Diceros bicornis minor: one gene and its partners. The protein of the gene in region 2 binds, or shares a complex with, the protein of the main gene of each other region. Links are inferred from orthologs where the notes say so. Each region holds a gene or a part of one and is shown on either strand. Other genes may lie near its edges. The genes, in order: GJA1, NEDD4, GRB10 and ARRDC3.

Region 1 (7,517 bases), on a different chromosome or scaffold from region 2:
TTCCACACTCTTCAAACAAGGAGAGAATCTTGAAGGGAAGTCAGAACAGGAAAGGCGGAGTACTCGGTATTAATCACTGCTGACTTGCCTATCATTCCTTTCCCTCGGGTAACAGATAGAAAGGCTCTGAGGCTCATACCAAGTTACACCTCTGGATATTATAAAAGAAACGAAGGAATGCACTGTATCGGGAGTTTTCCATCACAGGAATTGGAAACATCTAAGAAACAAAACAATTCTGGATATCTGAAAACACACCCTTGTAGATGCTTGCTAACAGAGAATCTTGGGAACCATGTTCCCCGGGGAGGGTCGGTAATGTAGCTAATGTAGGAATCCCTTTGCAAAGGGTGAGGAACTGAGCGGATGGGGGAGCTGTGTGATAAACTATAAAAGGTATTAGAAAACTGTGGAACAATTTAAACAGCAAAGAAAGTAGGAGCAAAGCACCACCACTGCATTTTCCAGGCAAAGGACAGGCGACAACTCTAGCCTGATTTAGGGAAGTACAAAGCATCACACATCGGGGGAACACTTTCCAGCAGTACAGAATTCAACACATCGCCAAGACAGAACGTACTTCCTGCCCTTTGTATAGCTTTCAGTCAATTGGGCCTACCTAGAAAAATGAATTACTCTTCCCCAGAGGTGATTTCTATCTAACTGGTTTATTTTATTCTTGGGAATGGAGTCAGTTTAATGAGATCTTCTCTGCATTACTACAGGATTTATTTTCAGCAATCTTTGTACCAAGCTAAAAATTAGGCTTCTTAAAAAACATCTCATATGCCACGGGGCACTTTTGACTGAGTTCAAGCGGGCTCAATTTTCCAAGGGTGAGATTAAGCATCTTCTCATTACTAACTTGGTTAGGCAAGCAAGAGAAATTAAACCCCCCTCCAAATAAAGCCATGTCTATTTTCCCCGCAGTTTATAGCTCTCACCCCCCACTTGCTCTTGTAGAGAGAAACACGGGCACCCTTAGGGTGAGGATGAGGATGTTCAGGGAGCGCTTCTGATAAGCTTTATCAGAGATGTCCTGTAAACAGCTGGACGGCTGAGGGCAGTGTGGGAGACCCCCTGCTCGGAACTGACTGAGTTTCGGAATCCTGTACTCACTTGCCTTAGGCCACGTCATTAGCCTCATTCCCGGGCTTCCCCCGCCCTCCCCTCCGCCCCCATTCTTGGGAAGTTTCAAGAACTTCCAGGAGAGTTACTGGTGCCGGTTAGGTAAGCCCCGCGGTATTCAGGTTCCCTTACCAATGCTCATACGGTAGGATTCAACAAGTTTACGAAAAAGGAGGACACTGTGGATGGGGATGAGAGAGAAGGCAAGGGAAGGGAAATTAGATCGACACGTTTAATTCAATTAATCATTTGCTCCTCTTCTCCATTGGGCATGCAGTCTATCCCCCCCCGCCCCTCTCCCCCTCCCCTTCCTCTTCAGCGGCGGAACTCGGACCTGCGCTCGGTTGCACTTGGAAGGATTTGAGGGACCTCGCCAAACCTCTCCAAAGCCCGGCGGCTCGGGCGGCGCAGGAGCCGGGGGCGAGCGGGGCGGAGGCTAAGATGGCAGGAGGCGCCCCGCGCCGGCCCCCGTCGGGTCCCCCGCCTCCGCAACGCTTTCATTTTTATTTGCTTTTCAGCGTTCTCTGGTGCAACTCCTTCAAACTGCAGGGTCGCACCAGGAATTTAAACTCATTACTTTAGTCTGTGGAGTTAGACAGACTCCTTCCCGGGCACGAAAATGCATTTCTGGCTAACAGAATGTGTGTTACCCATAAGAGCAATTAAGAAATTCAACCGTTTTTCATGACAAATCAGCGTCATCTTTGCTTAGTGGCAGCACCAACTCAAAAAAGTTGCCCCAGAGCTCTGAAGTCTATTACAGGTTCGGACAGGAGGAAGGGCGTGGGGTAGGTTAGTTTCCTCCAAGGCACCGTTTAAGAAATTTCGTTTCATATTCTTTCCAGCAGCTCCTGTCTTAGGCGACGGTTTTGGAAATGCACCCTGGCATACACTCTTGTAAACGTCTGCTCTCCCCCTCTTATACTTTGTAAGTAACCATCACCCAATTCAAGGGATTTCATCTCCTGAATTGTCAACGTGGTCGAGTAAAAGGTGGCTCTCCTGAGGGTCTCAGATTTTTCCATAGTGGTTGCTTACACGAACTAACTATTTACTGTTGCTTTAAAAACTTCAATATTACAACTCTGATTTTTCTACTTTTTTGTTTACAGGGGAAAATTTTAGGAAGGGACCACGTGGAAGTCAAGTAACCCTAAGGGCTTAACAAAGCACTTAAGAAGTCAGCTTTGCAAGGCTGTGGAACATCAATCAAGATTTCCATATGAAAAAGCACAAAGCGTAGAATTCTATAGCAAGCACGCTAAGCAAATTTGCACTTTGATTTTGGTGATGTTGTCAGTCAAATCCGCATCCCAGGCCCCTGAGCTCCCTTCCCCCAACAAGTTACAAAGCGCCTAGACGATTACTGATTACAAAAAAAGTAAAAGTATACTCTAAAATGAAGAACCAAATACCCAGTAAACTAATGCTGTATTCCAATCAGAAAGGTCTGAATCTTATTTTACCTGTTGTTGCATTTTTCGTAGAAACATTTTAAGTCAAAAACGTAAATATCAAACGTTCACTTTTAACCTGAAAACTGCAGGAACACTTTCATCAGTCCATTTACAGCATCCTATCAAAGCTACACTGAACACATTCAAAAACTTTAGAAAAGTTTTACTTGTAATAAAAGAAACAGATAGGTAAAGTATTTCTTTTTTTTTTTTTTTTAACTTACTCTTTCTCTTAAAAGAAGTGAAGTAGGCTCGCCAAGTGATTCAGCTCCTTACAGGATGAAATACAATGAAAACGCAGGCTCAGGCTCTCAGACCTGGCTATTTAAAGTTTAAAAGTCTGCTGCTCTTTGGTACTTTCTTCCCTCCTTCCCCCTAATGAAAGAAAAGTGCTGATACCTCGTAAAAGCTTTTTTCTAACTTGGAGCACAGAGCTTTTAAAAGTTTCAAGCCAATGACTCAACAGGGGGAGGAGGAGCCAGAAGAAAGGGGAGGAGAGTGGAGAGGCGGCCGGTGAACACGGAGGGTGGAGGGAAACAGGCAGAGGACTAGCCAGGTCGAGATAAAGTTGTAGTTTAAATTTGCTGACGAGAGCAATGAAATAGCATTGGAGACGTGAATGCCACTACTTGTAGTTACTCTTTACAGATAACAATTACTGGTTTTATTAGTGCTTGTTTCATCAAAAGTCCAGGGATAATAAAAAGTTGTATATTTTATAATGTTACAACCTTTTCCCAAGTAAAAAAAATATGTATTTTACAGTAAATAAAAGTGATGAAAAGAGTATAGCCAGTGCAAACTTGATTCATATTGGCCGAGGTGTGTGAAGTTGAAGGTGGGTGTGAGTGAGTTATTTGATGATCTAATTCTTTGCCTTTTAATTTATGTAGGGACAAGTGACAAAAGAAATGGTGGGGATGAGAGAGAGACATTTCAAAAACGCCCATCCCAGATCCACCTTCCAACACCTTGACTGCTTTGAATTTTTACTCTTTCTTCGTTTAGCAAAAACTGTATTTGTATTTATAACTGTATAATATATAATACATTTTGACTGTGAAATCTTCATAATTTGACATCTACCAGATCTCCAGGGAACTGAAAATTTACAATATTTCAGCCCCATTCATACTATTGCACTAAAAACAAAGTCTTCTTTTAGTGAAATGTCAGAATATTTTTTGTGAAATACTCATATGTTAAATCGGCATTAAGTGGGTACCAAACTATCGACCCTCTTTGAGACCATCTCCTTCTCTAAAATCCACTGGAGAATTTTCTGCCCAGTGACAGTAGAGCTGTGCATATAATTTTTATGCTCTTTTCCAACCGCTTCCCTGGTCATCCCTCTTCAGCACTCTGCATTAGGGTTTGCAATAGCCTCAGTCCTGTGGCCTCATTCTTAGGGTGGGTATCTCCTTTGAGTACTCCCCAGACGCCGTACCAGGAGGCTGTGATAGGCGAATGCCCCATAAACAGGCTTCAGTGTGGCTCCTGAAGTTGGATGGGGAAATGTCTTGGCCATTATTCTCTGGAAAAAGTGCAAACTCATCCAGCCTTATTTCTTACTCTTTTCTCACTGATACAAATATCAGAAAAAAGGAAGAAGGCAAATATTTCCTGATAGATACCTTTCCCTAAACATACTTTCATTAAAATAATTAATAAAACACCTTTTGAAATGTTATAGTTTTAAGACATAGTTTTGCTCTCTCATTTGCTGGCTATACTATTTCCAAGGGTACATATTTCTTTAAGTTAAAAAAGGGGAAAAAAAGATATAGAAATTGTAATCTGACTTTCAAGTCTTCAACCTCAGCAACCCATAAATATTGTTTTGGTCTTGTATTATAGTGTCCTTTCCTTCAAACAAGTCTATTGTTTTGTCCTAACTAAAAATTATTTCTTTAGATTCAGAATACATTCATGAAAATGTGATTTAATCTTTTTATTATAAGAAAATCTGCTTTTCTTCCCCCTTTTTTTAAAAAAAGTCTATGCTTCACTTAATTTACATAATTATTTCCTTTACTTTTGTAGATTTATTAAGTAGAGTTATTACTAAAATTATTCATTTTATGAAAAAGATTTCCTAAAATGCTAATTCACAATTAGTTGCATGAAAGAAAAGTTGCAACTGTCTTATAGCAGGGTTGTTAAAGCGAAAAATTGTGTTTATTTCCAATTATATTCTGTTCAGTCTATAAAAGGATATTGATGTCTAAGCATTCTGCTACCTTTTCTCTTTAGTCTATTGCCTATATGACCAATTGGAAATTGAACTAAAGAACTTCTAAAGTTACTCATGGATATCCCTTGAACCATTTTCTAAGCCATAAAGATTGACCATAGCATGAGCCACTAATTAAATAATTAGTTCTCTTAACATATGGGATGTATGATATCTTGTATTTCTAAAATGATTTTCCCATGATCCTTCATAAAAGATGAAGACATTCAGTGAGATCTTCTCCCTTTTGGAATAATGGCGCCAAAATGTGATCCTATGAGTAATAATGCTCAGGGAGAGCTGGGTTGCTGTGATGGCTTCCGTGTTGGAACATAACAGTTTTCTGTCATGGACACCTAATTGCTTCTCCAAATGGCTATCCTATTATTTTTCATACTCTAGCAGTGCTGGTGAGTTGCATTTTGACCAATAATTTGCTTTTATAAAGAATCCCACTTATCTGACCTTAGAAGCTGCTCTCCATTGTAGTGGTTTGCAAAATTTGTGGGATAGATTTTTTAAAATGTGTTTTTCTCATATTCTCAGAAATGCCAATCCGGTTTCATTAATATAAATACTTGACTTCCCAGAGCTGTATCTTCTCTGATTGCCAGGCCTTGTCTATGCAGAAGAAATGGATGCAGCCTAATTTGCTAGTCAGGCAACACTGCTCTTGAGGGATGAGGACAGCCATTTACAGCTCTTGCAGAGTTTCTTTAGGCACCACCATGAGCTGGGCCTCAGACTCTGTTACCCATGTTGCTCTGCTAGTTGAGAAATGCACATTATTGTCACAGTGGAAAGTAAACTCTTTTTCAGAATTGTGAGAAGTATTTCTTAACGTGACAACCAACTGCATTGTTTGATTTTTACCTTTGTTTCAAAATACCAATGTCTGGAATTTTAAGAGATAAATGGATTAATTTTTAAGGATTTTAGATGCCTATCTCACTCAAACCCTGGTGGATTACTCTCACTTCAATGAATAGCAACAACATTCAAAAATAATTGGTGGCTGTAAATTGGAGATCAGTAAGGAGAATATTGTAATGGTGGAGGAGTGAGTTATAAGGACCTGAAGTAGGATATAGGAGTAAGAAAGAATTATCAGAACTTGATGACAGATTGAATGGGAAGGACAAGGGATAGGAGGTGTGCAAACTGATTTTGGAGTTTTGACTGGGAAAAAGTTACTAATACCAAAAAGGATGTCTGGAGGAGGAACTGATTTACTAAAAGAAATTTAATGATTTCAATTTGGAATATTTTGGTATGAAGAACTGAAACATCTAGGGAAAGCTATCTGACTGGCAACTCAAGACACGGGCTGTGGAGTTCGGGTTAAAATTGTTGTAAAATTTGGGATTATATTCATAGAATTGGTCATTGAAACCACAGGTACAGATGAGATTACTAAGAGATAGGATGTAGGCAGTGTGCCAGAAAGAACATACACACAGCCTTCGTGGATTTCCTCATTTAATGCAGGCAAAGAAAAAGAATAAGAAAAGAGGCCTAGAATTGGGGAAAGGGAAGGGTATTTAAAATGGCCACAAGTAGGCTTATTTGTAAGGAAAATATCACCCGGGTACTGGGGGAGTCTTAACTTTGAAAAAAGGACAGGTCTTCCTTTAAAACAAGAGTGAATATAGACTATAAAGAAAAAAAATGTTTCGAGCTAGAGAGTGGAGGCATTAGGAAGCTAGAATTGAAGGTAACTTCTCAATTAAAGTAGGTGAAGTTATCAGCTGACTCTGAAGTAAGAGCAAGTTGATCAGAGTTGAAAAGTTTGCAGTACCTGTGGGGAACTCCAAAGGCAGCTGTAGAAGCATAAAAGGATTATCTAAGACTGGAAGGGTCTAGGATGAATTTGTATTGGAATAAGATAGCATTGTCTTATGGATTTCCTTCCATTAGTATTGGAATAATCCTTTCTATGCACCAAATTTCCATTTTATCTAATATTTATTGGACAGTAAGGAGAAAAAGTTAATTTGGACCTCAATATTATGCAAGTTCAGAAATATTCTACCTAAGTGGCCAGAAAATGTGTTCTTAACATGACTGTTTGTTGATCAACCATATTTCCTTTAGACTAGTGAAGATTTCACATCATATTACCGACTTGGGCTAGAATCTTTTCTCAATAGATGTATTTCTGGGATCTGACAACTGAAACTTGCTTCCCATTTACTTAGTATTTTATCATCTCTAAGAGATATTTAAGGATCAAAGTTTGTCTCAACCTGGGTAAAATCTGAACTCATTGTGTAGCTCACATCTGTCTGCAAGTGAATCTTACTGTGTGGCTACAGACAAAAACAGTATTTGTAAAGGGAAGAATTTTTTTTATTTTGTTTAATGGGAAAGAATCCCAGCCAGTGGATAAATATGTGTTTGGCTCCCCCTTCTGTACAGAGTGAAAATGAACATCATAGGAAGTAACTGGTAAACCATTTAATACTTTCACTTTAAAAACTTGCACCTTTTTTATTAAGCTTGGCTAATTTTTAGATCATTTGTGAATGTTTACATTCATTCACTCAGGAAATGTTTATTATGTCTCAGGAACTGTGCTAGTGAGGATTTTTAAGTTATGTGGTAAAGACAAAAACAGTATCAGGTTGAACTTCATTCAGCTTTAGGCTTTGAGTTTCCTTTAACTGAATTTTGAAAAAGCAAGCAAATAATGGTGGGAA
Region 2 (7,949 bases):
ATGCCATAATATCATAATTTATGTGTTTATCATCCTCAATAGATAATAGTGTTGTTTCCCGCTTTTTGCTATTACCAGTTGATAAACATTCTTGCTGTGTTTCCTGACGTACGTGTTATGAGTGTATCTCTAAGATTCATATTTTAAGGTTGAATTGCTGGGTCATGGTATTACCAGTATTACTGGCATTACATGGTATTTTTCCTATTGTTACTGACACTGATGTGAATTTCTCCCTGATTCTTGGGTGCATCGTTGGTAAACTATTTTGTTTGAGTTATTCGCATGTTGTTCAAAAAGAAAGATAGCTCTTGTTTGTGCTTTCTACCCTGCTTAGTTGTCTAGTCTTTTTTGCCAGTAACTTTAGTATGGTGTGACTATTTCTTCAGTGCCAAAATTGATATTTGTCGTACACTGATTGGTCCGTTAACACTCCTTGAGGATTTACTATGTATAGCATACCAAACAGGGTGTCATATGTCAAAAGAAAAAAACATTGCCTGTGATATTGACAATGGGCTATTTCTAGAGTTATAACCGTGGTATAGAAAAATTTTTAAAACTTTTAAAGCTAAAAGCAAAAAGAAAATAATGCGTTGATCAGGATATTATAGATCCCTACCCCAAGGAGTCAGAAGTCTTATTGTAGTCCTGCCTATGATTTGATACATTGGCTTATAACCCTGGACAAATTATTCAATCCTTCTGAAAATATTTTCTTATGTTTAAAAAATAGGAGGCCCAGCCCAGTGGCATAGTGGTTAAGTTTGCATGCTCTGCTTCAGCAGCCTAGGGTTCACAGGTTCGGATCCCAGGCACGGACCTATGCACTGCTCGCCAAGCCATGCTGTGGCAGGCGTCCCACCTGTAAAATAGAGGAAGATGGGCACAGATGTTAGCTCAGGGCCAATCTTCCTCAGCAAAAAGAGGAGGATTGGCAACAGATGTTAGCTCTGGGTTAATCTTCCTCACCAAAAAAAAAAAAGGGATAATAATATTTGCTGATAAATGTATTGTGAGGATATAGCAAGATAACGGCTATCAAAGCACTCCAAAAATATTTCATCGTGATACAAATATAAAGCGTTATTTAACATTCATGGACTCATGCGTTTATGGCTTTCTGATACTGTATTTTTTGTGTTAACTGAGGTATGCTATTTAGGGTATCTGCTATGTTAGATACTTTCCTGTGCATTAGCACTATAGCTTTTCTCAAGAAGCTCACTTTACTAGCAAAAGGGAGCAAGAAATGATTAGAACAGGGCAGTGTGTGTCACTCTAATCCTCTGATTTGTTGCTAGTTCTAGCAGGTGATTGAAGTGTACAGATCACCTGAGATGTGATAGAAACTATAGCCATTGGTGGAGTAACAGGCTTGATTGTATAGCAATAAATGGCCTATGCCACTGTAAATGTCATTTTATCTTTATTCTCCTGTAGCATTCACAACTGAATTAAGAATGTCTCCTTTTCCTAGAAAATTCTCTTTGGAAATGTACAGTGAAGAGCACAGATATAATTTTAAGCAGAAGCAATTTCTAGTCATCTGGAAAACATTTGCAATGTAAGTGGTATTTGTTTCGAGAAAGAGTAGGCTTAAATTCCTTTTTTTCAGCCAATTTTAAGAACCTGAGAGTTAGAAACTATAGTAGTTTGGTTATGGTGATAGTGGTGGTAGTGGTGTTGATAGTGATGCTGTGCCTTTAAATGAGTTCTGCTCATTAATGCAAAAGTTAGTGCTTCTGTGTCACTACCTAAGAGCTGCACCTGCACACATCTAGCCTCTGAAGTTTGGGAGATGCCTGTATTCTTTATCCCGAGTGGAGATGCTATGCTTCTCAGGTTTAGTGGTTGTATTTGGGTTCTGGAGAGAAACAGAACCAATGGGATATACATATACACAGAGAGAGAGAGAGAGAGATTTATTTTAAGGCATTGCTTCACATGATTCTGGAAGCTAGTGAGTCTGAAATCTGTGAGGCAGAGCTGGCAGGTTGAAGATTCAGGTGAGAGTTGATGTTACAGTCTTGCGTCTGAAATCTGCAGGGCAGGCCAGCAAGCTGGAAACTCAGGCGGGGTTTCATTATTGTACTCTTGAGGCAGAGTTGCTTCTTTGGAAAACCTGTCTTTGCTCTTAAGGCCTTTATGTGAGTGGATGAGGCCTACCACATTATGGAGAGCAGTCTGCTTTACTCATAATTTACTGAATTAAGTGTTAATCACATCTAAAAAATAGCTTCATAGCAACATTTAGACTGGTGTTTGACCAAATAACTGGCAAAATAGCCTAGGCAAGTTGACACATAGAATTAATCATCACAGTGGACTTTGGCCTTCAAAGATCTAGTCAATGATTAGGGTTATCCAGAGCCTATCCATAGCATGTAGATAATCACATTATTTTCTGTGTAGATAATCAGTAACCAAACGTCTCAGAATGTGGGGTCCTGAGCTTCAATCTAATCCTAAGACATTATGCATTCATTCCTCCCACATAAGGGCTGCCAGCAGTCTCCAGCTCTTCTCCTCTTGAAGTTAGGGTTGATGTTCCTCTTTTGGCATCTTTTTGGCCAAGGGGCTACATTTTACCCCAGGTTCTACACATAACTGCTGTAATGGTGGTACAGATCCTGTGCAATCCCAGACCAGAGCCAGCAAAGCAAACTGCTCAGCCTCTAGAATTTAAACTCAGCCTGGAGTGCTAGGAAGTGCATATGATTCTTACCTCACTTTTCCTTGGCTGAAGCCCTCTTTGCAAATTTTTCAAGCATCATTCCTTCTGGTCCAGCTGCAATGTTTTTTGATTTTTCTTTAGAAGTGGTAGCTGGATCAACTTTAAAAAAATTCTGAAAGCGTTAGGAGGTCAGAGTAACTGCAGTGACCATCCATCCGTTTATCCAACTTCTGCTCTGCTGTTACCTAGTGCTCACTGTGTTGCCAGCATGAGCTCAGCAGGATCAGAAGAAATGTTTAGTTATGGTCCTCCTACTCTGGAAGCTTAAAATCTAGTTAGGGGACATGAAACTGACGCTTATAGAGGAGCTTCCCAAAGAGAAAACTTTTATCTGGCCAAATACCTGGGGTTCATTATTTTATGTTAACAACCTGAGGAGCTTTGCTTATTAACTGAAAGTTTTAGGCCACAGGCGTGAGCAGTTAGACTAGCTCATTGATTAGCCTCTTAGAAATGATCCATTCTTTGAGTTATCAGACCCCTAACTTAATTCAAGAAGGAAAGTTGAAGTCATTTGAAGGTAAAATGAAAAGATTAGGACTCTTCCTTCTATAAGGAAAAAGGATGATAAGGGAATATTTACTGAAGTGTGTAAAATCATAAAAGAGAGAAATTATACAAAACCAAAATAACTAATAATTTTATTACTCAGTTTACAATTATACATTCAAAAACATACTACTATCATTCTAGTCGGAAATATAATTTAATAAATCCCATGTTTCTATTTGGCCATGTCTTAACTGATTAAAAATACTGTTTAGAAAATTGTGATTGAAAACAGATTTATCTTAAGGAGTTTTTTTTTTTTTAAACAAAGTGCAAGTATATGTTTTACATATTTGCTTTTACTTAGGAAAAAAAAACTTACCTAGAAAAATACAACTTGGGTGTAGTACCATGTGGTGTAAACAACTGAACTATTTTACTTTACTTTCCTATGAATGAGCCAGTATATATTTATTACTGGAGTTCCAGCTATAAAATTCAGGTAAGGGGTTTAAATATACCCTAGAGTATTATTTAAAAATAAATTTGTTTCTTTCAAATAGAATGCCAACCTTGGTCCATGACATGTGGGGGAGAAATTAAAATATTAAACTTTTATTACCTAGTAAACTGAAAATAAAGTAAAGGTTAAATAAATACAAAGCAGAAAATATATATATACAAAATCACAACCTCTAAAAAGACAAACAGTCTACTGTTCTCTGCTGTGGGAGCTTTATCAACAGTAGTAGTAAGGAATTCCACCTCTAGGGCAGTGCTAGTACTCAAAAATGTAAACAAGTGTGTACTTTGTTTATATAAAGAAATACGCAGCATGGTTTTTATTTCTTTGTAGATATCAAACAGCTAAATGGATTGTTTCAAAGCACCAGTAGGGGCCAGCAAAGAGCTCCTAGAGTTTTTCAGAACAGAATTGGCATTGAGATATGTTTATTTGATGTGTTAAATCCTTTTTAGACTTCTTTACTTACCACAACACTCTTAAGTGAATGAATTGCAGAGACAGTGGAATAAAATATCTTGTGTGCTCAAACTACATTGGGGTATAGTTTTTCTGTCTAATCTGCATATATTTTTAATGGAATGTTTGCTTAGGCTGTTTTTTGGCAGAGTTGTGATAGTCAAAATATAAATGGCATCATTTAAAGACTGTACTACTTGGCTGGAAAAGGCCTTAAAATTACAGGAGAAAATGCCTGGTGACAGCTTCTCTTTAACTTTTTTTTCTCAGACGTGTGCTCGATTTTTGCAATTGTATTACTAGGCTAATTTTGTATTTCTATCCTTAAGCGTTCACTTTTTATAAGTAGTGTTTTGGAAGCTAAAATATTTATCTTTATCTATTTGATTTAATGCTAAAGTTTTAATTCACTCCAAAGTTTTGGTATTTCCAAATTTATACAACTATTTGAACTTACTCATTTAAAAAAAATTTAAGTCTATATTCCTTTCTACATTAACTAACTTGACTAGATTCCTAGTGTGGCTACTATTTGGAAATTCAATCCTTTATTTGATACTCAATTACATGGGGTTTCGTTCCTACCAACTTCCTGTAATTCTATCCCTATGGGTAAAAATATTAGTGGTCAAACTCAGCTGGAGAAAGTATAGGCACCGTGATTCACATGGTTAAATGTTCATTTAGTAGAGCTGGAGTGAAAAAATACTGTTTCAACTTGAAATGCTAGAAGATTGTTGTTCTTGTGTTACTCATTCATGCAAATTGGAGAAGGTATAATTGAAACAAGGTTGGCAGTGTTTGAGGCAGTGTGCTGCAGCTGAGCTCAGCTTAAAGGTCGCTGGAAATCAAGTGCTTTGTAAGTGAAGGCATTTTGACTACAAGCGATTCAAGACATTTTGGAAACGTCAGTCTCAGGAATGGGTCGTCTTTTTCTTTCTGTGATATCTGGTATCTAATGTTTTACTTAGGATAAAGACTACTACTTAAGAGCTCTTTTAGGCACCACAAATGATTTTTTCTTTCAGTGCAGTGCAGCTGCTTCTAGCCTGTCTACAGACAGAGATCTTTGTTATGACTTTTAGCCCTTAACATGTTTGGAAATGAGAACAAATGGCACAAAGCTTACGATTGCACTTTGCAGCCAGAAGAAGCAATACTTATCCTTTGTCAGAAACCTCCGGAGATGATTTGGATAGCAGTGTTCACATGTGCTTCAAAAGACCAACACGGATTTCAACGTCTAACGTTGTTCAAATGAAGCTGACTCCCAGACAGACTGCGCTAGCTCCGTTCTTAAAGGAGAACGTTAAGTCTCGGGAAAGATCATCTGTTCCTTCACCTGAAAATGTTAATAAAAAGAGCAGCTGTCTACAGATTTCACTACAGCCAACAAGGTACAGTGGATGTCTTCAGTCTAGCAATGTCTTAGCTGATGGCGATGATGCTTCATTTGCTTGTGTCTTGAAGGAAGGCATTTACAGCATTGCTGAGGTTGATAATGAACTGAATGCTGTGAATGATGGTAACCTTTTAGGCAGTTCTGCCATTTGCAGTGGTAGCCTTAGTAACTTTTCAGCCAGTGAGAATGGGTCTTACAGCAGCAACGGTAGTGATTATGGGTCATGCACGAGTATCACAAGTGGAGGTTCATACACCAACAGTATCCTCAGTGACAGCAGTGGTTATACTTTTACACCAACTGATGATACTTTTTTTGGTGGAAATTTATCTGCGGACAGCACCTCCAATAGAAGTGTGCCAAACAGGAATATTACTCCATGTGAAATTTTTTCAAGAAGTACAAGTACAGTTCCGTTTGTCCAAGATGACTTGGAGCATGGACTAGAGATTATGAAATTGCCAGTGAGCAGGAACTCGAAAATTCCACTAAAACGTTGTTCATCCTTAGTCATTTTTCCTAGGAGTCCTTCAAATACTCCACCAACTTCTCCAACAAATACAGGTACTCTTCCAAGCAAAGGATCCTATCAAACCTCACACCAGTTTATTATTTCTCCTAGTGAAGTTGCCCACAATGAAGATGGTACTAGTGCAAAGGGATTTCTTTCAACAGCTGTCAACGGACTTCGGTTATCTAAAACAATCTGTGCTCCTGGAGAAGGAAGAGACATACGACCACTTCACGGGAAGGGCTCATTACAAAAGAAAATGGTTGTTGCAAATAATAGTCCAAATCAGACTGTCTGTGAAAAGTCATCTGAAGGATATTCTTGTGTTTCAGTGCATTTCACCCAACAAAAAGAAACTACATTAGATTGTGAAACAGCAAATGGTGATTATAAACCAGAGATGTCAGAAATTAAGCTTAATTCTGGTTCAGAGTATATTAAGCTTATGCATAGAACATCTGCATGTTTACCATCCTCCCAAAATGTAGATTATCAAATAAATATCAATGGACAGTTGGAAAGACCAAATTCACAGATAAACAAAAACCATGCTATCTTACAAAGAAGTATTTCATTGGGAGGAACTTATCCAAATGTTTCCTGTTTATCCAGCCTTAAGCACAATTGTTGTAAGGGGGGACCATCTCAATTACTTATAAAGTTTGCATCTGGAAGTGAAGGTAAAGTTAATAATTTATCGAGAGACAGCAACAGAGATTTCGCAAATGAACTGTCTAATTCTTTGAAGCATTCTTGTGAGGTAAGTTTCCTCTGGTCTCAGTAAATATTAATTTATACTAGAATAGCTTTATGAAATATTTGTTTAAAATTTATTATAACTTAGTAGTTTTATATACTTTTCTGGTCCTTAGCTAGCAAATATTCTGTAGTCATGAATTTTATATTTGTAAATCTGAAGAATCCCCAATAGTTTTTCACTCTGTTATTTTACCAATATAGAAAATATGCATTAAAAAAAATAACTTTCCAAAGTGATTTAAGCCATAAAACATTTCTGTAGCATAAAAATAAGCTTTAAATAATAATTTATTTTGTAACATTTTACCTTGGTATATTTTTTAAGTGGCATAGTATTTTAATGTCTAACTCCATATTTATTCCTACTTTCAAAAATGCTCATTTGGTGTTCTCCCCTCCTTAATCATTGTGAAATAAAGTGAAATATAGGATGCTAATTTAAAATATTAAACAATAAAAAGCCCATATAAAAATGGGAAAAACTTGTTATAAATGAACATAGAGAAAGTGTTTCTCTAAAATACACGTATTTATTAGATTATTGATAAAAGCTATTATGCTGTATGTTTAAAGCAGAGGAAAAATAAATGGTATTTGCATTTGTATATACCTTAACCACAGGAATTTTGTTTCCACCCTATTTTTCTTTAGCTACCCGTTAGGACTGCTATCTAAAATGTAACTCACTCTTTGAAGGATATTGAATTCTAAATTTTATATTTTTCAATTTGGTTTCAATTGCTACGCATTTCCCCTAATTTTCTAGCTACCTTATAAATTTATTTTGATAATTTTGCTTTATTATATTAGTAACTTGACTCTAATGACTCTTAACTAGAACAGCTCTTTATGTAATTTGGCCTTTCCAGAGTATTTTAAGCGTTTTGAATTTAAATAGATTTTTTAAATTTCTGTATTTGGAAAGTCTTGCCAGATTTCAGGAAATTAAGAAATTTTTCTGACTAAACCAGTACTAAATGACAGTACCTAATAGTTTGGGGGAAAAAAACTTATCTGTGTTTATGTAACACTTAATATCTATATTAAAGATTTTTTTAAAACTTCTGGA
Region 3 (7,476 bases), on a different chromosome or scaffold from region 2:
AATGGATGAACAAATTGAGGTACATCTATACATGGAATAGTAATCAGCATTAAAAAGAAGCAAGCTATTGGCCCGGCCCCGTGGCTTAGCGGTTAAGTGTGCGCGCTCCGATGCTGGCGGCCGGGGTTCGGATCCCGGGCGCACATCGACACACGGCTTCTCCCGCCATGCTGAGGCCGCGTCCTACATACAGCAACTAGAAGGTTGTGCAGCTGTGACATACAACTATCTACGGGGGCTTTGGGGGAAAAAAATAAATAAAAAAAAATTAAAAAAAAAAAAGAAGCAAGCTACTGATTCATGGAACAAGATGAACTTCAAATGCATTATGCTAAGTGAGAAAAGCCAGACACAAAAGACTCCATACTGTGTGACTGTGTTCATATGACAATCTTGAAAAGGCAAATCTATGAGGACAGAAAGCAGATCAGTGGCTACAGGGAGTGGGCAGGGTGACTGATTGCAAGGGGGCCAGAGAGAACCTTTTGGGGTGATGAACTGTTCTCTATCTTCAGACCTTGTGGTGACACAGCTGTACACCTTCAACTCCACAAAGTGTGGTTCTTCCTGAAGGCAAATTAAATCTCAATAAACCAGACTTAAGAAACATCGTTCAGTTAGCACCTGTTTTGGTTGTAGAGTCATTTTGATTCAAGCTACCTCGGGAAAAGGAGAGTTTATATTAAGACATCATAAGGAAAATGCAAATCTAAAATAAGAGTTGCAGGAGCCCAGGCAAACAGAGACAGGAGACAGAGGGCATCTATTTGGTGCTTACTTTTGCACCTCCCTTCATATACTGAGCCCAGCTCAGCTGCTCCTCCCCTGATCTCCATTGTCCAGGCCCCTCCAGCACCTCCAGTTTAGAATTCCAGGTGCAGGCATCTGACTGCCATCCTTCCACCCACTGGCCAACCTAAGGAGTGGCAATCTTTGGGTCAAGTGTCATCCCCCAGCAAATCAAGTGCTATGCAGAGACCAAGGAAAGGCAGGATTGTTGGGGTCTGGGGACAGTTCCACTTCTGACGAAATTGTGCCAGTAGGCCCCATGATGGGCAGATCTCATACCCTCCCATCACCACTGGGATAAAGTAGAATCGCCTGCCCACAACAAGTGGCCTGATCTCCTCTCAAGTCTCCTGATGCCCCATGTCCTCCAGCCCCAGGCCCAGCATTCTATGATGAAATGCAACTACTTGAAAATTCTTTCTTGGCGTTGGCGAGGCCTTTCCCTAGACCTGGAAGTCCTCTTTTTTTAGGTCCTCTTTGCAGAACCTACCATCTTGGATGGTCTAGGACTCCACTGGGGCATTGCCACCACTGGGAAGCCTTCCCTGAATGCCAGGCTCCCACCTCTATACTGGGGGGTGGGGGTACTGTATGTCTCTTGTTTAGAGGATTCAAAGAATCTCCATGTTTGGAATACTGGCGCGCATGTGGATCCTGGGGAAGGCTGTTAAAAATGCAGATTGACTCTGAGGGGTGAACTCTATAGGACGGGGGTGGGGGTGAGCCCAGGTGTTCTGAGGCAGGCATTATGATTGTATTGTGATTGCAGATGAATCTCTGCCCCATGGTGAGTGGGTGAGTGGGTAGTCCTTAGTGCTGTTGACCACTGGTTTCCAGCTCTGCCTGCCAGGTACATGCATACCCTCCAACCCAGTGCCCTCACCCCATGGGAGCAGACGTGAGGGCCACTTCTGGTTGGAGCATTTCACTGCCAGGGTGCTGTGTCTTGTTCTCTTTTCCTTTGCCAAGGCTGCTGGCAATGTTTGAGATGGTGCCCGAGTCCCAGGGCGTATCATTCATTTACTCCTTTCATTTGCTCAACTGAAAAATTCATTTGCATGATACTCTTTCCTAGTGGTGACTTATTGCACTAGTGCCCGCTCAGTGCCAGGCACTCCCCCTGCTGGGATAACACCAGCGAACAGCATGTGGTTACTCTTGTCACATGCTTACAGTCAGCAGAGGAGGCAGATATTAATCAATTTGTTACTAAGTATAATTCGAGTCTATCAGATTCTCTACTTTCAGCTGAAGGAACCTTCTAGTACATGGTTGGATAATCAATTCCTCACTAATGTGACATCCCGTGTCCTGTCCTGACACTTAGTTGCAGCAGTACATTCCCCTTGTGAAGCTCTTGAACACAAAGCCACACAGCCCTGCCCCTGTAGGCTGGGTTCTCCGGGGTAATTTATATACTGCACGGCTGTATTTCACCCTGGCTTCCATCCTTCTGAGAGGGAGCACGTGGCCAGTGGGCATTTGGAATTTGCAGCAGGGGAAGTCACTAAGGTGCAATCTGCCCACAGGATTGGCTCGGCCAGGATCACTGCACAGAGGACAGCTGCAGCTTTACAGCCACAAGAGTGAAAAGTTCATGAACTTGTACCATAAAGTGGTACTGAGCAGGCCCTGCCCAGAAGGGAGAGGCATTCATGGATGTCTACACAGAGCCGGGAAATGTGGGGAATGAGGGCCCATCCTAGGAATTCTGGGCATCGATGTCAGCATGAAAACACTTGAGGACATTTATTTTGATCCCTTCCCAGTGAATAGTAACGTTTGAAAGCCCACACATTTTGAGACAGCTCAATGCAATACCCGACCCGGCCTGGATCTTGTGATGGAGGAGAAAGGAATACTATAAAGCGCACTATCAGATCAACTGATAAACGGGAATATGAACCTAGATCAGACACACGTATTTTATCAATATAAATTTATGAATTTGGTAACTGTACTGTGGTTACGTAAGATAATATCCCTACTCTTAGGAAAGACATAACAAAGTATATAGGGATAAGTGGCTACAGAGTATGGAACTTACCTACAAATGATTTAGGAAAAAGTATGTCTACGTCTATCGATGCTTCTCAGACATCTATAAAAGCCCTCTGCCTGTCAGGCTTCCTGGCTGGTGCAGGCATTCCTTGCTGACCGGAGCCTTCAGCAAAGCTGTAAGGGTCAAAGCTTATACACTTGTGAGAAGATGGCCAAAATCGAGTTTTCTCTTCTTTAATTTTCTCTTGATCCTTTGTCTACAACGGGAGTCCTTATGTTCCATTCTCCCAGGAATCTAAGCTCCTTCACATCATTCTCTCTAGATTCTCATCCCATGGGTTTCGGAGCTTGGACCAATGAGTAGACATTTTCGGGAGGCCTATGTCAGTTACAGGAAAGGATGACCTTTCATCGATACATCAGCCAAAGGTGGAAAAAGCAGGAGCTATAAAAAGTGCCATAAAGGGCTCTGGCACAATCCTTACTCTGCGCTTACCAGCTACTTGACCTTAGGCAAGTTATTTCACCTCTGGGAGATTCGGTTTCCTAGTCTGTACAGTGGGCATCTCCCAGTAACAACCTCAGAGGCCAGAGTGGGGTTACATAAGAGGATTAATGAATGTTTGGCACAAAATGTGTGCTTAATAAAGGTTAGTTATTATTGTAGCTGCTTTTATAACATCAAGACCCAGGAAAAGACATAATTATTTGTATTATAATTTTGATTCGCTAGAGACATTAATAATCATATTAATGACAATGGGGTTCCTTCGTGCCAGTCACTTTATGTTACAGGTATGACCTCATTTACCCCCCAGGACATCACTTCAGGTGGGCCTATTAGTCCCTTTCAAAGATAAGGACATTGAGGCTTGGCAGCATTGAAAGAATAGGTAGGGCCTCCCCACCTCACCCGCACTCCGGCGCTCACATGCAGATAGGGAAACTGAGGCTCTGAGAGGCGAGACCCAGACAGGGCTGGCTGTGAGCGGACACTGTAGGTTTCCCTTTCCCGGGCCGGGACCACCAGCCCACGACAGAGTCCCAGCAGCCGCAGCTCATCCGTCTGTCCTTGTCTTACGCCCAGGATAAAGGATTTGGACAGCAGAGTTAATACTTTGAGTTTCAAAGAATTCGCTTACAAATTGCCTTTCGGGATAGGTCCGATGTGTCTTTCGCGGGCGCCCGAGCCTGGGCTGTCGGGGTTTCGTGTCGGGGGTCCCAGGAGGCAGGACGACCAGTCTGGGGGCCCACGCCGGGCTGTCCGTCTCCCGCGCCGGCCCGGGCAGCGGCCGCCCAGAGGGTCAGGCGCCCGCGCCCGGTGCCCCGCCCTGTGCCCAGGCCGCGGCTCCGCCCGCGCTGGCGGCCGCCGAGCGATCCCGGCGGCGGCAGCGGCGGCGGGAGGAGGAGCAGGAACAGCGGCCGGGGGAGGAGGCGGAGGCGGCGGAGGCGGCGGCGGCGGGCGGGGCCCGGCGAGTTTAAAGCTCATCGCGGGGGTGGGGAGGCCGGGAGGAGGCGAGAAGGGACGAGAGCGGCGTGCCGGCGGCGGGCTCGGCGCTCGGAGGCCGCGGAGACCCGCGCGGGGCCCGAAGTTTGCGCGCAGCCCTCGGCGGCGGCGCGCGGGGGCCGGACCGCCCTGCGCGCCGCGCTCGCCCCGCGGGACCCGCGCCCGCCCCGGCCGCGCCGAGGGGCGCCGGCGGCCTCGCGGAGGCGGCCGGGAGCGGCGCCGCGGCAGGTACGGAGTTGGGCGGGGAGCGCGGCGGCAAGTTACTTTGTGGTCGGCGCGGCCGGGCCGGCGGGCGGCGGGCGGTCCCGCGCCGGCATTGTCTGCGCGCTGGCCGCCCGGGCCGGGGACGCCGGGCGCCGCGGGGGCGCGGCGGGCGGAAGGGCGTCGCCTCCGGGCCGGGGGCCGCGGCGCGCGAGGCGGGGACGGGCTGCGGGCGCGGCGGAGCGGGGCGCAGCGGACTGGGCTCTGCGCGCTGCGTCCGCGACCCCGGGAGCTGGGGAGCCGGGCGGCGCCTGCCTGAACCATCGTGGCCGACGCCGGCCGCTCGCGGGCCGGGCTGGGGTGGGGGCTGCGCCGCCCGGCCGTCAGGGCCAAGGCCGCGCTCCCGGGCCGCCCGCAGGGTGGGCGCCAGGCGCCCTGCCGCCCCCGGTGCGCCCGCGGCCGGGGCGGCGGGGCCGGACGCCCCCAAGCCGGAGCGCGGCCCAGCCTCGGGATCTTTTTTTTTTTTTTGGTTTTGTGAGTGACCCCGTTACCCGCCGCTGGGGCCTAACCCCGAGTTGAGGGCTCTCGGATTAGCCGCCCGCCAGCCGTGGAAATGTGATAAGAGCCGTACCGTTCGCAGAAGGAAATTTCTGATGCAACTCGCCGCTTTTGCTGATTGCCTCTCCAAACGCCTGCCTGGCGATGGCCCACGAGCATGTGCGTTATGGAAATTAGGGTATTCTCTACTTTTTATTGTGTTCGACTTGTTTGGGGATTGGAAGAAACTCCAACTTTTGGTTGTTTGCTTTAACCGAGACGTTGGGTGATGTAGGGGAGCCACAGGTGACCTTTACAGGGTCCTGGATCTTTACGATGCATAGGAAAGAATGCTTTCTTGCAAACGTTGTGTCCAGTTTCATTCAAGAGATGCAAAGAAAAGACCAAAACAAATAGCGCTCGTGAGTAAATATGCGTTATTGCACAACTTTCTCGTTGCTGCTGTTTACAAGGCCGGGCCCGGAACACTTTGTTTCTGAAAATGCTGATTCAGCCGTTTGGAGCCCCCGAGTTTCATAAATGGTGCTCTATTGAACGTTTCGCTCAGTTTTACTAAGAACACATGTTAGCGCAGCAACAGGCGTTGACTAGGATTTGCAGCACAAAGCTGGTAATTTTTCGCAAGAGTTGACCTAGGCTCCCCCTCTTTCTTTCCAGGAGGGAAAATAGGTAGCATCTAGGTTTCTATAGCAGAAGAAATTCTGACTTATGAGGGTGATGTAGTGTCTTTTAGGGGAGTATATTATTAAGTAAAAACCCTGAAACCAAATGTGTTTCCTGGAGTGATTCTAGATGACTAGGTTTTTCTGTTAAAAATCAGAAGTCTAGGATTCCTGTACATAATATTTGAGTTTTACTGGGAGCACTTGAAAGAGAAGGGCCACACAGACCAATCCCCAGATTACAGGGAGAGAATTTGAGGACAGAGAGTTACACACCCAGCAAGTGTGCCTGTGTAACTGAGAAGTGTAGTGACTGAGACTTCTGTAGCATTTTACAGTTTACCTGGCACCTTCAAAGCCTGGTTGCTTTTAATCCTCTACAGCCCCCTAATCCCCATTTTACAGATATGGAAACCGAGGCTCAGGAAGTTAATTGGCATGCCCAGGGTGACATGGCCAGCACATGACAGAGCTGTTACCAGAGCCTAAGCTTTGCATTTTTTAAGTTCTGTGTTTTCTGCTTCTGTACAAGTACATCTGCCTCTGACAGAGAAATGGCCCGGAGAAGATCCGCCTGCCAGTCGCACACCCAGAGAGCTAGGAGGCTGTGTTACCATTCCTGTGGCTCCCAGCTTTCCAGATTTCTGCCATCTCACCAGGCCATTATCAATATTTTCTTTTGTCCACTCACTTTTTATACTTAAATACACGTTTATTTTGGGAGGAAACTTTGATATCTACAAAGTCATGAGTTGGATATGGTAGTTATGTTTATTATAATTAAAACAATGTTTTAATAAAAGCTGTCTACTATAGTCGTCTCTTGCATATCATCCGTGGTCTGTACCAGTTCTAGGGCATCACTGGGCTGGGCAAAATGTCTTTCATTTGTGGAGCAGGAACCCAGAGCTGGGCAGGTTCATGCTGGCTACTTGTCCAGGGCTTTGTATGGTGGTGGCCACCAGGACTGGAAGCCAAGGCAGCCCTGGCTCAGTTCCAGTGACCGTCTCTGTGGCCAGTCAGCCTCCAACAGGAGGGAAGAGCGAAGTCAGAATCCAAGAGCCAGCATAGAACTTTTGATTTTGATGATGTGGCTGGTCTGAGACTTTACAATGTATAGAAACCAAACTCCTTAACAAAGACATCTGTTGTGCCTTCAGCCTCATCTTAGAGCTGTAGAGGCTCTGGGTTGGTATATCGGGTCAAACATAATGTCTTGAAGGTGGCATAATTTAAAGAACTTATTTCCTTGAATTCTGTCCAACTCTTAACTGCAGGGGAAGGAAAACCTGCACAATGGTCGGATGTATTTGAGCTTGTGTCTAGGGCTAGCTGGCCTGCCTGTCAGAACTCAGAGCCCACTGCAGGGGACTTCTGTCCTGCTTCGTGGGAAGGAAGCTTGTGCATTTGCGGTTTGCTGCATAATCCCCGTGTCTGTTTCTTAGTCTTAAACCAATGTGAAATTGCATAGGCTCGTGAGGAGAAAATATTTGCCTTGTCTTTCATTTAAGTAAGCAGTCATGTGTTCAAAATTTAAATAAAACTTTTCTGCTAGTGGAGATTTTTTTAAAACCTGTCTTTATTTTTTTGCTTAACTGTAGAAGTGTGGGACATTAGAGAAGAAATGAAGACAGTCAAGCTATTTGATGGGAGAGGCTTGGGTGCTTTGGGGATCTGGGAACCTTGTATAAGGTCTGAGCACTGATGGATGTATAACTGATCTGATCCATTCGAGCACTGGCTGCCTTTTAATTTATG
Region 4 (7,073 bases), on a different chromosome or scaffold from region 2:
GCACTGGGGGCGGGGCCGCCGCGGCGCAGCGCTTCCGCTTTACACGCCCCAGCCGGTGACCGGTTCTATCTGGCTCGGGCCACCCTGACACCTTTCCAGTTGCGGCGAGGGAAACTGGGGCGGTGAGGGGGGAGGGCAGAGCCCCAGGAAACAATGGGGAGGGGGCAGGGGATACTCGCAGAGGCCCCCACCCTGCTCTCCGTGTTAATACCACTTTTCCTTCCCCTCGTGGCAGCCTTTGCACTCTCCCCCCGCAGGTCAAATCAAGGTAGCCCGTCTGGTGACTACATAGGTCGGCAAACACGCTTTGTTTCAGCTAAGAGGAAAACAAGCGTTCACAGAAGCTACCTGACGCCTTCCACCCGAACAGGAACGGGGTCCTGCTAACCCTGCCCACCCAAGTTCCCTCTGAATAGGACTGCAAGCTCAAGTTGCAACCAGGGCCATTGGGCACCTGTAAGGCCTGCTGGAGCTTCTGCCCTCTATGCTGTTGGAACCTGAACTTGTTTCTTTCGGGGGCCCCAAGAGGGGCGACAGAACGTTCTGTGACATGAGCCCCCGGCGCATCCCGAAGCCCGGGGAGTGACGCGAGTCGGGCGGCGGAGGCAGCTCTGGAGGGACCTTTACCGGCGCACGCCGGTTCCAAGCCTCGCCCCAGCCGGCGCAAGCCCACTCTCCCCACCCGCCCGCGCCCAATCCAATCAGAGCCTGGCATCGCCTTAGCAACAGGCTAACAAACCCGGCTCCGCCTATCGCCGTGCCCGGGGCGGGGTCTCGGGAACCAGGCTAGTTTGAGAGGTCCCAGTTTTAAGTCATTGAAACTATTCCAGTCTAAGAGCTCGTCCACGCTTTGCAGGGGTTGCGGGGCACCTCGTAGGGTGTGGGGCACGGAGTTTTCTTTACCATGAAATCACGGAGAAACTAATGAAATTGTGTTTGTGCCTATTAGTCGTTATTCTACTTTTACCCCACTGCAAGCCTCAACTCCTTAGAAACCTTTGTTTCTCCTCAACCATTTTATCAAAAGCTGCAATGTCCAGAAATGGTCAAACACAAACTCATGTGTCTGCTTTTCAACAAACACCAGGACTGTCATTGGGCATTTACAGTTCTTATCGGTGTTACCGCTTGGTGAGATTAACCAGAAATTATTTTCAGGATGCAAATTACCTATATGTAACTGAAAACCAAACTAAAGAATTGATTTCATCTAAATATTTTAAAAAGTAACGCATTGATGCTGTAACTCAAAGCATCCTTCATTTTCTACACTTGCCTTAGTTCAATTAGCACTTCCTCATGGAGGTCTATTTTTTAATATAAAAAATAAGGTAAAATGTGCTCTACTCTGAAAAATCGTCAACATTTAAACTGAATACTGCATTAAAAAGGAGAAGCACAAAATTACATAACCAGTTTTAACATTATATTCTTCTTGGGTTAGGAATTAAGTCATCGCCACCACCTGACGCGTGTAACCAATCTGCTGAGAGCAGAACAAGCGCCCCTCCTCACCACCCCCCAGAACTGGTCCGAAACAGGATTGAACCGCTTCTAACAAAGGGTGGAAACTTAGAAAAACAAGCTTAGAGTCTTCTATATTTCCACAATGTAACCATTTAAACAATAGATTGAAAATCTCAGGACCCCTTCTCCCTTTGACAACCCTTTATCTCCTTTTTTTAAGCAAAAAATCAAATCCAAGGTGCCGAATACTTTTTCAGTTCCATTTGACTGGCAAGGGTTTCATTGAATGCACGTTCCAAAGTTAGACATGATGCTCGGAAAAGAACATCACTGACCCTAAATGGCTTCTAAAACTGATTTGAAACATATCCTAATGATAGATACTGTCTTTTAAAATAGAGACTGCTTGATGTAAATTTCTAAAGAAACTGGAAAGAATAGGGAAAAAACACGTGGGGTGTTGATACCATATGTCAAAATAAGCCACAGAAACCCTTCATATCAAAGAACAATGATCAATTCTTTAAAGACTTTTGCGTGTCAATATTAAAAATGAAATACACCTATTAACCCACTTAACGTCATCCCATTTCTTCACTGAAGCTTAGTTTTTAACATCTAAGGTTGCAGAGTATAAGGAAAAAATCTAATATTGGACTACAGCTTTTAGCAATTCACTTGAAACCATATTAGTAAAACTACTGAATCGGATTTAAGCAGAATTCATAAGTAAGGTGCAAATGGATTGCAAGTGCGTATGGCACAGACCAAGCCGGCTATAGAGGTAGTTGAATTAAGTGCAGTTTGCAGTCACTTTGCAGATGCCTGCATGCATTACAGCTTAACACACGATGAATGTCAAGGAGAATCCAAATCTTCCAACTTTGCTAATCTTTATCAAACTGCTATCTATGTGTTATGCTGGAAGTAGAATTGTGTTATGCTGGAAGTAGAATTACATTAATTTAGAAAAACTGAAAAGGCACTCTCTCAAGGAAAACAGGTCTAATGATTTCTGAATAATATAAAAACTTACCTCTTTCGTGTCCAATTAAGATGTCTTTATGGTTGAAATATTCTACTTCTTCAGTGTAATTCTGTGTATAGGCAGTATTGGAGCCGGCGTTTCGAGATTCGGTCCAGCGTACTTTCGCATGTCCTCTTGCATGAATTTTAAGCGATTTTACTCTGATTTCCCCAGTAACTTCTAAATTCACCCTTCCTGAGACTGTATCCCCACTAGAATACACAGGGACATTGCTGTCATTGAGACAGTCAAAGCTTATTGTCAAACTCTTCACCTTTCCCAGCACCATGTTTATAACAAAATCTATAAAAATATAATGTAAGACAAAAAAAGTCAAGATCACATATAAAATGTGATCTTCACTTAACACTGATCGATGTCTTTGCCGTGCAAAAAGCTTGCAGGCAGGATCAGTGATTCTTTACAAATAGTTCATTGAGATTTCTTAAAAAGTCAGGGGAGCAGAGAGGCTGCTGCTCCGCGCTGCCGCTAGTCTCAGTGGTCTCCTTACAAAGACGGGCGGTTGGAGGCTGCCAGCTCACTTTAAGAGCAGCTTTGTGAAAAACAACCGCAGTGCGCATGCGCACGCGCCGCGGCTGCTGCCCGCCCTCCCTGCGCGCCCCCTCCCGCGCCGGGCTCGCTCCCTCGCTCGCTCGCTCGCGGGTACAGTAGGTGTGCAGCTAGGGGAAGACGGCTCTGGGGCTGCCGGGAGGCTGAACCTGACTTCTCTGCATTGTGGGCTCCTATTGGTAGGCAGGCTACCGTAAACCCTCGACGTGCTTACCTGGAGCCCCTTACCGAGCACACTCGTGTGGAAAGATGATGGCAGAGGGGGCCCTGGGGGAGAAGGGCTGAGTGGGGAGCTGTTCGCAAAGCCAAGTCGGGATGCACTGCGGGGTGAGCGGCCCGAAGCGTGCGTTACCGGCACTGCAGGGTTTTGCCCACTGCCTGGATGGGAGGAAGAAAAAGTGATGTGTGAAGAGAGATGGGGGTAGGGGAGAAACCGGTTGGGCAAGCGGCCGGTTGCTCAGCATAATCTAACGAATTTCCCAAGAAGATAATAAAAAGCAGACAAGAAATGATGTTCCGAGACAAGAGCATTCTTGGCTTGGTTCTTTTTTTTTTTTTTTAAACTAGTATTTTGTAGGCAGGGTGGAAATGAACTCAGTCTACGGCAAAGGAACTTTCAAGAGAATACTGTACGGAGCAAGGAAGAGAAGCAAGTATAATTTAATCAGTAGGTTTTGTTTTCTCTTCCATCTCTTAGATAGCAGCGAAAAATAACCCAAGTTGTTTGCATGATGACACCAGGGGGGAAAAAAGGCTTGACCACTTCCTCGAAGGAAGAAAAAGCCTGTTTTTAAGACACCACCTACAGCTCCATTTGCAGGGTATGACATGATTACAACTCCTGTGTCCAGAGGATTAAGAATAGACTTTGCCCTAAAAAAGTCCCACCTTATAAAAGGCAGCGTGACGTAGTGCTTTAGCTGACATAATGTTTACAAGAAGATCGAAAAATCTTTGTTAGACATTAGTGAAGCGCATAAGATAGTTTTTAAAAAGCATGCTTTGATATATAAATAGGGCTTAATTCTATAAAACTTTAATTTTAATTTTCAGCCTTGGGCTGTTCCACGTAGTAATTCTCATAATCTTAAAGACAGGTACATTTGTCTCTATTGTGACCGTTTTGGTAACAAATGGCAATGCTTTCAGAAAATATCAGACTGGGATTCAAGGCCTAGTAGCATAAATTTACCTAGATTTTTTGCGATCAACAAAGCTGCTTATAAGAGAGAAATATAGAAACAAAAAAATATGCATCTGGAACTATATAAACATAACCAAATACACTTTGGAAGATTTTTGGCTGTCCATGTCTAACACATTTTGGTTTCTTTTGTGCAGTATATTTGGATAGGTTGAACCTATGATTCACAATAAACTGAACTCATTGGTCTTGCTGTTTTTTGGGGGCCGGGGAAGAAACTAAATTTTATTTAGTTGGCTTTTAGTTGACAAGACAGTATCTTGGACTCAACAGCGTAACATATGGAGTATAAGTGTGCAAACTATTTGTACAGTTAATGGGCAGGCCATTTAACTCAGAGTTTAGATGGTTATGCTTGAAACTATGAATTGTGTATTTGAGTGGGAAAAAATAGTCTTTTTTTTTTTCCCCTCTTGGTTGACACCTGGTGGAAATTCTAGTTATTCAAGTACTTGGGATCTTGTACTAGCTTTGATCACAGATACTACTTGGGTTTTTTCGCCACCTAGTGGTAGAAGTGGTGAATTTGCTAAAATGTCAGCTTCTCAGCGTTAAGGTGGAATGATATTTATTAAGCATTGAAATAACATTGGGTAAGGAATAGATTTAAAAGTGCAGTGCCCAGTGAGGCCTTCATTACTAAATTTGTTTTAAATTATTAAAGGCTGGTGAACAATGGCTTAATTCTTTAGAATGTTTGTAAAATTTCTCCAGTTGGAATATAACTTATTTCTGAAAAAATAAGAATCAGTTATTTAAATAAACTAGAATTGCATTTAACCAAAAAGAACCCTAACATATTTACTTGTGGTTTAGAAAACTGTTGTAGCACATGAAATGCTTAATTCCTGTCACTATATTACATTATTCCTTCTGTTTGAAGTTTTTAGGATATTATAAATGATTGTCTGTATTATTTATTTTGCTGTTTCTCTTTATTGTCCTTTTACTGTGTCTTCCTAAACACTTCAGTAACTGACAAGTTGCCAAGAAATTCTTATCCCTATCATTTTTGCTTAAGATCCTACTCACCCTAATTATCACATTTCTTCTCTCTGGCTGTGGTCACATGACTATTTCTAAATAGTCTAAACTTGAGTTTACTTGCTTCATTTTGTTTTCCTCCTCCTATTTATTCCAACTATGAAAACACCAGAAACAAACAACAAGCAAAAAACTGGCGGCTCTAAAGCCACGTTTATGTTTTTATTTCTAAAAGAAAAAAAAAACCTTTCGACTAAATTTTGAATGTTTTCTCTCAACTTTTATAACCTCCCCTTTTCAAGACTCCCTGTCTAAATACACCCTTGAGACAGCTTGAAACGCCGTAGGGTAGCTGTTATCCAGGGCTTCCGGACTTGCTTCACTGGCCCTTATTGTGTTTTGCATTAAATTTAAATATTCATCTTTAGCAGCAATGCTCTCTCCTCCTGCACCCCAGCCTACATTTCGTATGCCGTCTCCTCCTCCTCGTCTGCTAACTCTCTATGCTCCTGTCAAGTACATCTTCTGTCCCCTTTGTTAGCTTGTCTCACTGTTGCCAATGTGCAGTTACATGCTGCTTTCTGTGCCCAGAACATCATCCCACTGCTGTTATCTCCTCTCCCTTCTTCTAAGCCCTCCACTGGATTTAGTGGGCGCAACTGAATAAAATTCCAACTAGACAGAGTAACCAGCTTCCCCTCCCCCTTTTTATATCTTCTTCAAGGCTTTAATAGGAATCTCTTTTTATGGTATTTGTTTCTTGGATTTTAAATTCAATGGCTGTTCCAGCTTGCTGTATAAAGGTTTAAACTCAATCTCAAGAACTCTGTCAAAAACTGAAAAATGATAATCGCTATCAAGATATTTAATATTGAGGTGATATGTCAAAATTTCTGGGGCCTGGCCCCGCGGCGTAGCGGTTAAGTGCACGGGCTCCGCTGCTGGCGGCCCGGGTCCGGATCCTGGGAGTGCACCTATGCACCGCTTCTCCCGCCATGCTGTGGCGGCGTCCCATGTAAAGTGGAGGAAGGTGGGCACAGATGTTAGCCCAGGGCCTGTCTTTCTCAGCAAAAAAAGAGGAGGATTGGCGTGAATATTAGCTCAGGGCTGACCTTCCTCACACACACACACACACAAAAACAAACAACAACATTCCTGCCAAGTCTGGAGTTTTTCCTCATATCGAAATGCTCAATATTGTTATAAAACAGAGCAAGCCATCTCAACTGCAAGTTTTGGTGTGTGGTTGTAAGACAAACCATACCAGCAGTCAGAATCTGTTTCTTAAAGAAAAATATGAAATCCTTGCTTAATTCTTCTTTTAACTAACACCTGACAGGCTTCAGTGCTGTAGAACTAAGGGAGGTTTTGTTTGTGTTTCTTTTGGTGAGGAAGATCAGCCCTGAGCTAATATCCATGGCAATCCTCCTCTTTTTTGCTGAGGAAGACTGGCCCTGGGCTAACATCTCTGCCCATCTTCCTCCACTTTATATGGGACGCCGCCACAGCATGGCCTGACAAGCAGTGCATTGGTGCGCGCCCGGGGATCCAAGCCTGGGCTGCCAGCAGCGGAGCGTGTGCGCTTAACCGCTATGCCATGGGCCTGGCTCCTGTGTGTTTGTTTTTTGTCTTAATTTTGTATTTCAAGATTTTGTAACTCTGACTTAACTCTTTAATATCTTCAGAATGCAACAAATTTGACATTGGTGTGGAGATTGGAGGTAAGATTTGCTATAATATTAGCAAAATGAATGAGATTTTTTTATTTGATAGTTAATTATATGGTATGTTTATTACATTCTTCATATTTAATAGACATTT

The links.
Region 1: the proteins of NEDD4 (region 2) and GJA1 are in contact, whole or in part, in an NMR structure (PDB 2N8T), measured with the Rattus norvegicus proteins. The link is inferred for Diceros bicornis minor from reciprocal best matches to the Homo sapiens genes NEDD4 and GJA1. Residues at the interface, in NP_037118.1 of Rattus norvegicus: Asp416, Asp417, Tyr422, Val424, Asp425, His426, Ser428, Lys429, Thr430, Thr431, Thr432, Trp433; in NP_036699.1 of Rattus norvegicus: Pro277, Leu278, Ser279, Pro280, Met281, Ser282, Pro283, Pro284, Gly285, Tyr286.
Region 3: the proteins of NEDD4 (region 2) and GRB10 are in contact, whole or in part, in a crystal structure (PDB 3M7F), measured with the Mus musculus proteins. The link is inferred for Diceros bicornis minor from reciprocal best matches to the Homo sapiens genes NEDD4 and GRB10. Residues at the interface, in NP_035020.2 of Mus musculus: Glu71, Leu72, Val79, Arg104, Ser112, Ile114, Leu115, Thr116, Ser117, Val118, Gln119, Glu134, Ile135, Leu136, Phe137, Arg138, Leu242, Pro243, His244, Pro245, Pro246; in NP_001357532.1 of Mus musculus: Ile514, Arg516, Gln518, His519, Phe521, His522, Gly523, Arg524, Asp548, Gln579, Phe581, Gly587, Asn588, Thr589, Lys590, Phe591, Ser592, Ile595, Gln596, Asp599, Phe600, Leu603, Asn604, Ile617, Arg618, Val619, Ala620.
Region 4: the proteins of NEDD4 (region 2) and ARRDC3 are in contact, whole or in part, in a crystal structure (PDB 4N7H), measured with the Homo sapiens proteins. The link is inferred for Diceros bicornis minor from reciprocal best matches to the Homo sapiens genes NEDD4 and ARRDC3. Residues at the interface, in NP_001271267.1 of Homo sapiens: Glu847, Arg849, Ala851, Pro852, Phe857, Ile859, Asp860, His861, Lys864, Thr865, Thr866, Thr867, Trp868; in NP_065852.1 of Homo sapiens: Glu344, Ala345, Pro346, Pro347, Ser348, Tyr349, Val352.

What each region holds. Positions count from the first base shown.
Region 1 is NC_080762.1:15,391,664-15,399,180, forward strand, and holds the start of GJA1 (gap junction alpha-1 protein), read right to left. Parts: upstream 3,012-7,517; 5' UTR 2,810-3,011; intron 1-2,809. UniProt on the Homo sapiens protein: Gap junction protein that acts as a regulator of bladder capacity. A gap junction consists of a cluster of closely packed pairs of transmembrane channels, the connexons, through which materials of low MW diffuse from one cell to a neighboring cell.
Region 2 is NC_080744.1:51,373,415-51,381,363, reverse strand, and holds the start of NEDD4 (E3 ubiquitin-protein ligase NEDD4), read left to right. Parts: upstream 1-4,945; 5' UTR 4,946-5,321; coding exon 5,322-6,881; intron 6,882-7,949. UniProt on the Homo sapiens protein: E3 ubiquitin-protein ligase which accepts ubiquitin from an E2 ubiquitin-conjugating enzyme in the form of a thioester and then directly transfers the ubiquitin to targeted substrates. Specifically ubiquitinates 'Lys-63' in target proteins.
Region 3 is NC_080780.1:7,064,565-7,072,040, reverse strand, and holds the start of GRB10 (growth factor receptor-bound protein 10), read left to right. Parts: upstream 1-4,461; 5' UTR 4,462-4,525; intron 4,526-5,008; exon of another isoform or gene 5,009-5,234; intron 5,235-7,476.
Region 4 is NC_080740.1:17,721,728-17,728,800, forward strand, and holds the start of ARRDC3 (arrestin domain-containing protein 3), read right to left. Parts: upstream 3,015-7,073; 5' UTR 2,784-3,014; coding exon 2,504-2,783; intron 1-2,503. UniProt on the Homo sapiens protein: Adapter protein that plays a role in regulating cell-surface expression of adrenergic receptors and probably also other G protein-coupled receptors.